Oryctolagus cuniculus: one gene and its partner. Each later gene encodes a partner of the first gene's protein in a complex. Links are inferred from orthologs where the notes say so. Each region holds a gene or a part of one and is shown on either strand. Other genes may lie near its edges.

The links.
Region 2: the proteins of RANBP9 (region 1) and glucose-induced degradation protein 4 homolog are in contact, whole or in part, in a cryo-EM structure (PDB 7NSC), measured with the Homo sapiens proteins. The link is inferred for Oryctolagus cuniculus from reciprocal best matches to the Homo sapiens genes RANBP9 and GID4. Residues at the interface, in NP_005484.2 of Homo sapiens: Ser223, Lys224, Gly225, Arg226, Asp227, Gly228, Tyr229, Met230, Gly256, Asp257, Thr274, Phe275, Thr276, Thr277; in NP_076957.3 of Homo sapiens: Leu187, Arg189, Asp194, Glu195, Asn216, Asp218.

The regions. Positions count from the first base shown.
Region 1 is NC_091436.1:157,009,248-157,013,782, reverse strand, and holds part of RANBP9 (ran-binding protein 9), read right to left. Parts: intron 3,592-4,535; coding exon 3,440-3,591; intron 1-3,439. UniProt on the Homo sapiens protein: May act as scaffolding protein, and as adapter protein to couple membrane receptors to intracellular signaling pathways. Acts as a mediator of cell spreading and actin cytoskeleton rearrangement.
Region 2 is NC_091448.1:66,462,631-66,467,165, reverse strand, and holds part of glucose-induced degradation protein 4 homolog, read left to right. Parts: intron 1-1,193; coding exon 1,194-1,295; intron 1,296-2,882; coding exon 2,883-3,013; intron 3,014-4,535.

The DNA of each region.
Region 1 (4,535 bases):
TTTAATCAAGGAGTACCTTTGAGAACTGGCCCTGTAACATCATTTTCTGAGTTATATACGAATGAGAATCAAAGAATAAGCTGACAGAGTTAGATCTTCAATGTTCAAAGGTACTACTTAAGTCACAGATTTCTTCACCTTGCTCAGCATAAAATTTTAACAAGAAAACCAAAATCGATGGTTGAAACATTCATATTCCCCAATATCCTCTAAAACAATTCCTCAAAGTAGGGCCAGGGGCCCCTGGGTAGTGCAGGATCCTTCCTGGGGTCTGTGAGGTCAACACTATTTTTATAATACTACTAAGCTTTCCCTTCTTCCTCACTTTCATTCCCTCATAACTACACAGTGGGCTTTCCCAGAGGCTATGTGATCTCACAACTGAACGCAGAAGTAGGAACCAGAGTCCAGCTGATCGTCTATGGAGCCAAGCAGGGGCTGGTAGCATGGCCCAGCAGGTTAAGCCACCACTGGCATCCCAGATGGGTGCTGGTTCCAGTCATGGCTGCTCCACTTCCAATCCAGCTCCTTGGGAATGCGCCTGGCAAAGTAGCAGAGAGACTTGGACTCTTCCCACCCACAAGGGAACCCAGATGAAGTTCCAAGCTCCTGTTTTCAGCCTGGCCCAGCCTTGGCTGCTGTAGCCATTTGGGGAATGAACCACCAGTGGATGAAAGATCCGTCTCTCTCTCTCAATCTCTCCCTCTCCTAACTCTGCCTTTCAAACAAGTAAATCTTTTTAAAAAGATGTGCAAAAATATGAAACAATGCTGCTGCTCTTTTATTTTGGGGGAAGATCATTACATATTGGTGGTTTAATGGATTTAGTTTGGGATGAATTAAAGATTTTAGAATTTTAACTTTTTCTTAATTTTTGTTTATTCACTTATTTGAGTGGCAGACAGAACTCCGATCTGCTGGTTCACTCCTCAAATGCCCACAATGGCCAGGGTTGGGCCAGGCCAAAGCCCAGCCACGAACTCCATCCAGGTCTCCCACATGGGTACAAGGACTCAGCTCCTTCAGTACACCCGCTGCTGCCTCCCACAGTACACATCTGCAGGAAGCTGGGGCTGGGAGCACAGCCAGGATTCAAATTCTTTTTTTTTTTTTTTGACAGGCAGAGTGAACAGTGAGAGAGAGAGAGAGAAAGGTCTTCCTTTTCCGTTGGTTCATCTCCAATGAAGATCTGAAGCCAGGAGCCAGGTGCTCCGCCTGGTCTCCCATGCGGGTGCAGGGCCCAAGCACTTGGGCCATCCTCCACTGCCTTCCCAGGCCACAGCAGAGAGCTGGACAGGAAGAGGGGCAACCGGGACAGAATCCGGCGCTCCAACCTGGACTAGAACCCGGGGTGCCGGTGCCGCAGGCCAAATTCACTCTTCAACACGAGACACAGGTGTCTTAACCACTAGGGCAAATACCCATCACAAGTTTTAATTTCTAATGCGGTATCAATAAATGTAAACCATTTAACAAAAACTCTTTGGGAATCAATTTTTAGAGGTTTCAGACACCAAAATATTTGAGAATCACTGCCCTAAAGTATGCTCAGAACATAACAAAGAAGTACTGAGTTTCCCAAAGGGATCATTCTAGTCTCCTAAAATAATAAAGAACCCAAGTGTTAAGTTTTTTCTTCCTGATACTAGAGAAAAGTTCTACAGAGTTACACAGTGATCAAAATCTTTAATTTGGAAAAACTAGTAATACTTTACAAATGAATTTGATAAGCGTATTCTATCTGATGCTGTACACTGGAGATACATACTTCAGAGAAAGATCTACACGGGGGAGACTGTTAAGTACAGTCTAGGGCCAGCACTGTGGCACAGTAGGTTAAGCCACGGCCTGCAATGCCAGCGTCCCATACTGGAACCAGTTCTAGTCCCAGCTGCCTGCTAATGCTCCTGGGAGAGCAGTGGAAGAGGGCCCAAGTGCTTGAGTCCCTGCCATCAATGTGGGAGACTCAGCTGAGGTTCCTGGCTTTGGCCTCCACAGCGCTGGCTGTTGTGGGTATTTGGGGAGTGACCCAGCAGATGGAAGATTTCTCGTTTCGTTGTTCTTTTTTTAAGATACATTTATTTATTTGAAAGGGAGAGTCACAGAGAGGCGAGAGGGGGAGAAGAGGGGAAGGGGGAGGTCTTCCATCCGCTGGTTCACCCTCAAATTGGCTGCAATGGCCGAAGATGTGCCGATCCAAGGCCAGGAGCCTCTTCCAGCTCTCCCATGGGGGTGCAGGGGCCCAAGCACTTGGGCCATCTTCCGCTGCTTTCCCAGGCCACAGCAGAGAGCTGGATCAGAAGTGGAGCAGCTGGGACACAAACCAACACCCAAATGGGATGTCAGCACTGCAGGCGGCGGCCTTAGCCGCTACATCACCCTATAGGACCCTCTTGTTTCTAATTCTGCCTTTCAAATAAACAGATCTTTAAAAAAAACAACAGTTTGACCTTAAGGAAATTTCCTGATACATGAATATCTGATTTGCCCTTTTAAACGACAAACTATTTCATTAATTCTTTTTCATTTGGCACAGAACGCACAGCTCAGCCTTTCTTTGATAGCTCAGCTTCACCATTAGAAACAGCAGCTGTTGTGCTAAACTGAACGTGGTGATTACACCCCCCCCCCCAGCCGAGAGCAGACGCGGGGGGGCAGCCCCCCCCCCCCTTAGGCCGAGGGCACCGGCGGGCGCTCCCCGCTCTCCTGACCTCGGCTCAGGTGCCGTGCGTGCCCTTTCCTCCCATTCCCTGTGCCTCAGGATCACAACACCTGTCACCCACTCCTAGTTTTTGCTTCTTTTGTAACAAATCGACTTTTAAAGGGTTATAACTTCTCTACAGCTACCTGCATGCTGACTTACGTTAGGAGGAAACTCCTGATGCCCGAACAACACTCAAATCGTGGGAACTGTTCACATCTCACCTGACCTGATCACGCCCATCCAGCCAGAAGACGGCAGCGTGTCTTTTCGCCTATTCTAATCCCCACATACACAGACACCAGGCATGCCATCTCAGCGTGCGCTCCACGGCAGAGGAAGCACTGAATGTGGTGACTGACTACCTCTCCCCGCCTCGGCCACGGAAGACGCACTAACCATTTTTACTAAAATTATACAAATACCTCAAATGTGTAGCTTTACCAGTACACTCAGAGTTCTACTAACTATACCAGTTTACAGCTGAGAAAATAAAACTAAGAATTAAAGGGTCCACAACACTGATAAGTAACGGAACAGGATTTAGTTTTTTTTTGGTTGGGTCAAATGCTCCTTCCAGTGGAGCACAGCTTCGACCCCTCAAGCCGGCCCTCTCACAGGGGACAGGGAGCGGCCGGCCCAAGACCACAGCAAGAGCTGCTAGCACATCCCGACGTCCTCACACGAGCGTGCTCCTGTTCCTCTGACGCCTTCCGCTCTTGCCGGGGAAACACTCACCTTCAACATCTTCTTGTTCGCTGTGTTCTTGCCACACTCCCTCCTCAGCTGTTCACTCATGGCTTGCAGCTCTCTTCCAAAGTGGATCATTCTTTCAATGGCAGCCTGACTTCCGCCACATAACTGGCGTCTTAACTGGTTTGAGTCAACTTCTGCAAACCAAACAAAGAAGTGCTTCACTACTTTATGGAATGGAACACACGTAAGAAATGAACACACATTTCTGATCCATTTTAGACCTCCCAGTCAGTAAGCACTCCCCAACATGTCACCTACACACACAGACTCGTGCTCAACCGAGCAGGGAACTCTGCAGCTAATCATCACACTGGATCCAGAGCTCGGGAGTCTGGGATCCAGGGTGCTGCGCGCAGCCCAGAGGCAGGGCTACCCGTGCAGTGTCAGGATGGACCCAGTGTCTCACGAGTGTCACCAAGAGGCAGGGGCCAGTCTCTAAAACCACATGAAGAGGGGCCGGCGCTGTGCCATGGTAGGCTAGGCATCCATCTGTATGCTGCCAGCTCGAATCCCGGCTGCTCCTCTTCTGATCCAGCTCCCTGCTCGTGGTCTAGGAAAGCAGCGGAGGATGGCCCAGGTGCTTGGGCCCCTGCACCCACGTGGGAGATCTGGAGGAAGCTCCTGGCTTCAGATCGGCTCAGCTCCAGCCATTATGGCCATTTGGGGAAGTGGACCAGAGGATAGAAAACCTCTCTGTCTCTCCCTCTCTCTATAACTCTGCCTCTCAAGTAAATAAGTAAATCTTAAAATAAAAATTAAAAAATAAAACCACACTAAGCAAAATTAACAAAGAAAAAGAGAGAAGGTAGTAACTGCCTCTCAGGCTGTTTTAACTGACATATAACAGAGGTGGAGTAAAGTGTTCCTGGAAGCTAAGAGAGGCTAAATGATTCCAATAGAAACACAGATTATTATAACACATTATAATAATCAAAATAACTATCCTGGTTTTAGAAAAGAATTGTGCTATACATCTTGAGTGACAACTATCACGTCACTGCTCAGCAGTGTGAGTGGAAATCCAGAGTAACACAACTCCCTGCTGTGAAGATGACGGCGGCTGACACTGTGCTTGTTT
Region 2 (4,535 bases), on another chromosome or scaffold:
GAGAAGCACCTGGCTCCTGCCATCAGATCAGTGCGGTGCACTGGCCATGGCGGCCATTGGAGGGTGAACCAACGGCAAAAAAGGAAGACCTTTTTCTCTCTCTCTTTCTCTCACTGTCCACTCTGCCTGTCCAAAAAAAAAAAAAAAACTATATAACAAGAACTACAACTTAAATCTGTTTTTTATGTAAGATGTTTTCTTAGGAAATTAATACGTGCTGATTTTTAAAGATTTTAAAAAATATAAAAGCAAGAGGAAAAAATACCATCTGTGGTGACAGTACCTACAGCTAAAACAGTGATTGACCTCTGCCTGAGTCGCCTTTGAGATACGTACATACAGACACATACATATACACACTTTTTTTTTCTTTTTTAAAAAAATAGGATCAAAAGATAACGGTTTTGTTTTGTTTTGTCATCATTTACTCAACTTGAAACATAGAAGTGACCCAAAAGAGATCCTGCAGCCGCTGGTTCACTCCCCAAATGACCCCCAGCAGCCAGGCTGGGCCAGGCCGCAGCCAGGAGCCAGGAGCCCCGCCTGGTGCTTGGGCTGCCCTCAGCTACCTCCCAGGCTGCACTGTTAGCAGGGGGCTTGGTCAGAGCTGAAGGCGGGACTAACACTTGGCACTCTGATGCCGGGCAGGGGCGGGGCATCCCAAACAGCAGCCTAGCCCACTGCACCCCAGTGCCCACCCCAGAAGGGTAGATAGAGGTTTGCACGCTATTTCTAGTCTCCTTTTGTGGCTTAGCCAGTTTCTAGCTTAAGGCGCTGGCCCAAACGCCCCTACTGCCGTGGGGGACTGTGCTCCGCCGGCCCTCACCTGGGGCTGGCAGGCTCCCAACTCCTCCGCCTGGCTCTTTGCTCTACGGATTACTTACAGAGGGCTCCTCTTTATTGTTCTTAGCCTGCGTCTGTCTGTGCGGAGGTGCTCTGGGCATGCGTCCCTCCTAGTCCTTTGGCCCATTGCTGGCCGCGCTCACGGGCTGGAGTCCAGTGCTCTGCCCCTGAGTGCAGGGCTGCGGCAGCGGCTGGAGGGTCTGACCCAGGCTCCCTGGCCATTACTGGGCTTTAGCCACCCCATCAGGAGCCAAGGCTGCAGCTGGCAAGGCTGTGACCAGGTGGGCACCCTGGGCGCCCGCAGCCAGCTCAGACACCAGGGCCCATCACCATCCTCTTTTTGCTTCCAGGGCAAGTTTCTGGCTTTTTACCAGTACGCAAAATCATTTAATTCAGATGACTTCGATTATGAAGAGCTGAAGAATGGAGATTATGTCTTTATGCGATGGAAGGTGAGTTCCCCCTCCCCCAGCCCGTGATCTCTGATGCCTCCTGTGGGCCAGCGCTGGTATTGCACCCCACACGCCTGCTCTGCCCCAGGGCGTGCTCTGGTGGAGTGCTGGGTCTCCCATGGCTCTGGTTAGTGGTTGGCTGGTGAACGGTCCTGGGTGCACGTGCTGACACTGTTGCATCTTCATCCTCCCCTGCTCTCACCCCAGGAATCCCTTTGAGCCTGCAGGCTGAATCACCCACGTGCACTGTAGATTTGGGGTGGAGCCAGACGTTTCTCTGAGTGTAGTCACCCATTGGACCGCCTTAATGCCATCGGAGTGACTGCTCCCCCCCCCCCCCCCCCGGCCTCGCCACATCCTTTCCCCGGGGCCCTCTGCTCCCCTCCAGCTCAGGAAGTGAGGGACCAGGAATGGAATGTGGGTTTTCCACTCAGCCGCCCTCGGAGCGCTCCGTGTCGGCGCGGCCGTCGCCTGAGAAGTGGCTCTGTGCCCCCTGCCTGGGTAAGCGCGGTCAAGGCTGGGAAGCAAGCTTGTGAAGCTGCACGCAGCTCCCGCTCCTCCTGCTCCCGACCGGGGGGGAACTCGGAGGCCTCACCAGCTCTCGGGCCTGCACCTCAACCAGGGTCCTCATGCACGCCTCCTCTGGGAGAGGGCAGGAGCGTCACTCAGGCCGTCCGTGTTGCCGGGCACAGAGTCCATGCCCAGCCTGCCCCTGTCTAGTGGGACGTGTGCCCGCTGAACCTGTTCAGGGAAGTTTCTTGTGCTCATTTTAAGAACAATTTTTGAAAACTACAATTTTTAGAGGCTGAATAGGGAGGGAGCTGAGGGTCTTAGAATTTTTAAATGGCAATGGAATTGTTCTGTGTCCGAAGGATTTCTTAGGATGACCGACCTGTGGGCCGTGGGCCGTTAACAGCCCCCCCTCCCCCCCCCCCCCGAGGCCTGGGGCCTCCAGCCTTTCTGTCCAAGAGAGCAGGAACCGGGACACAGGCTTTCTGCTGGGCTCCGGCCGGAAACCCACACTCGCCTCTTCTGGAGTGCCCAGAGAGGGTGTCCGCAGGGCTGCTGGCAACCCAGCCACCCTGAGAATAAGCTGCAGGCCCGCAGGTGATGGGAACCTGGCCCTTCCAGGCCGTTCCGTCCGTGCTCTCTGAAGACAGCGGGCAGGCGCTGGTGTTCCCAGTGTTTGGTACTTGTTTGTTTTAAGGTTGTTTATTCGAAAGGCAGAGCTACAGAGAGAGAGAGCTCTTCCACCCACTGGCTCACTCCCCAGTGGCTGCAGCAGGCAGGGCTGGGCCAGCCTGAATGCCGGAGCCCGGAGCCCTATCCGGGTCTCCCACATGGGTGGCAGGGGCCCAGGCCTCAGGCCATCCTCTGGCGACTCCCCAGGCACATTAGCAGGGGACAGGAGACGGTACCCTTTGAGTGGCTGATTCGCGTGAACTCGCGGTGCAGCTTGCCGCCAGAGACCACGTGCTCGTGTTTTTTCTCTTGCGTGTGTTCAGAGCGCCCCGGTGCTGAGCAGGGCGGCACCGGGAGCGGCAGAGGACGCTGCTTGCTAACGGCCCGGCCTTTGTCTGCCTGCAGGAGCAGTTCCTGGTCCCAGACCACACGATCAAAGACATCAGCGGTGCTTCCTTTGCCGGCTTCTACTACATCTGCTTTCAGAAGTCGGCTGCCTCCATAGAGGGCTACTACTACCATCGGAGCTCAGAATGGTGAGGCCCCATGGGCCGGGGGTTCCCGCTGGAGGTTGGCTGACCCCCTCACCCCTCCCCCACCCCCAGCTCTCCCCGGCTCATCAAACCCAAAGGAAAAATCTCGGCCCGTGTCTGCGTAGGCTTTGCACTTTATCTGCATGTCGCAGGCCTGTCGCCGTGACCTCAGGGGCTCCTAACGGGCTCGTCCCTCCGCACAGAGCAGAGCAGGCAGGACCGAGAGGCAGAGTCGGGGGAAGGGACTCGTCTCCGACCCCCTGCTGGATGTCCAGCAGGGCTCCGCTCGCTCTCGCTGGCTCCTGTTCTCACTCTTCCCAGGTTGAATTTGTAACTAAGATGTGCTCTAAGCCGGTGTGGGCAGCAGGAAGGGGGTGCCAGCCGCCTCTGTAATTCTGCAGCTCTGTTTTGGGACGTGGGTCCTGCACGCCCCTGCTGTCATGTGAGGCCCTGGTTGACAGCCTCCCCTGTGTCTCAGCCAGGGAAAAGGACAGAGCCCTGAAGTGCTGACCTTTGCCACCTTTTGGGAGACCTTGGTAGCCTCCCTGCTGCACTTTTTTTTTTTTTAAATTGATTGATTGATTTGCAAGGCAGAGTTACAGAGAGGCAGAGGCAGAGGCAGAGAGAGAGAGGGGTCTTCTATCTGCTGGTTCACTCCCCAAATGGCCACAGCGGCAGGAGCTGGGCCAATCAAGAGCCAGGGGCCTCTTCTGGGTGCAGGGGCCCAAGGACTTGGCCCATCTTCCACTGTTTTCCCAGGCCATAGCAGAGAGCTGGATCAGAAGAGGAGCAGCCGGGTCTCGAACCGGCGCCCATATGGGATGCTGGCACTGCAGGCGGTGGCTTTACCCACTACACCACAGCACCAGCCCCCTTCTTGCTGTACTTTCAAGCACCTAGCTGTCCCTAGGGATTGAACCCCTATCCTGAAGCACCTGAAACGTGTGTTGATCCCTTGAGTCGAGTCCCTGAGAGGGCTGTGGTTTCAATGTGAGAAAACACTGCATTTCTCAGCGTAGCCCGTGGTCCCTGGGAACACACTTCGAACTTAACAGAGACTGTGTCCTAAGTTTTGGGTCATACACATGGCCCCCAGCTTGAGGTGAACTTGCCAGAAAAGGGAAATTAACACAGTGCCAGGGGCCTGGTCTTCGTGTCGACGTCACGAACCCAGCGCTACAAGGCTTCTCCCGTTAGCAAGTAGCACTTAACAAAGCGCACCCACGGCCCGAGGTGCACTTGCCGCGAGGCTGAGGGTGGGGGCGCTTTCTCACCCTTCAGGGCCTCCTCTCGATCTCCATGCTCGGCGGCAGCCAGGTCGCACCTGCGAGTAATGAGTGTGTCGGGCTTGCAGCGACTGTGCGGTTCTCGAGCGAGCGTTAAAGCTTGCCCTAGCCCCTTCTCAGAAAGACAGCAGCGTCGCTGAGCCAGCACTCCTGGGCCGTGCCGTCAGGGGCCTCTGGCGCGCTCACGGAGCTGTGCAGGCGCCAGCGTCCGAGCCTTGCCCTGCGCACAAGAGGGAACC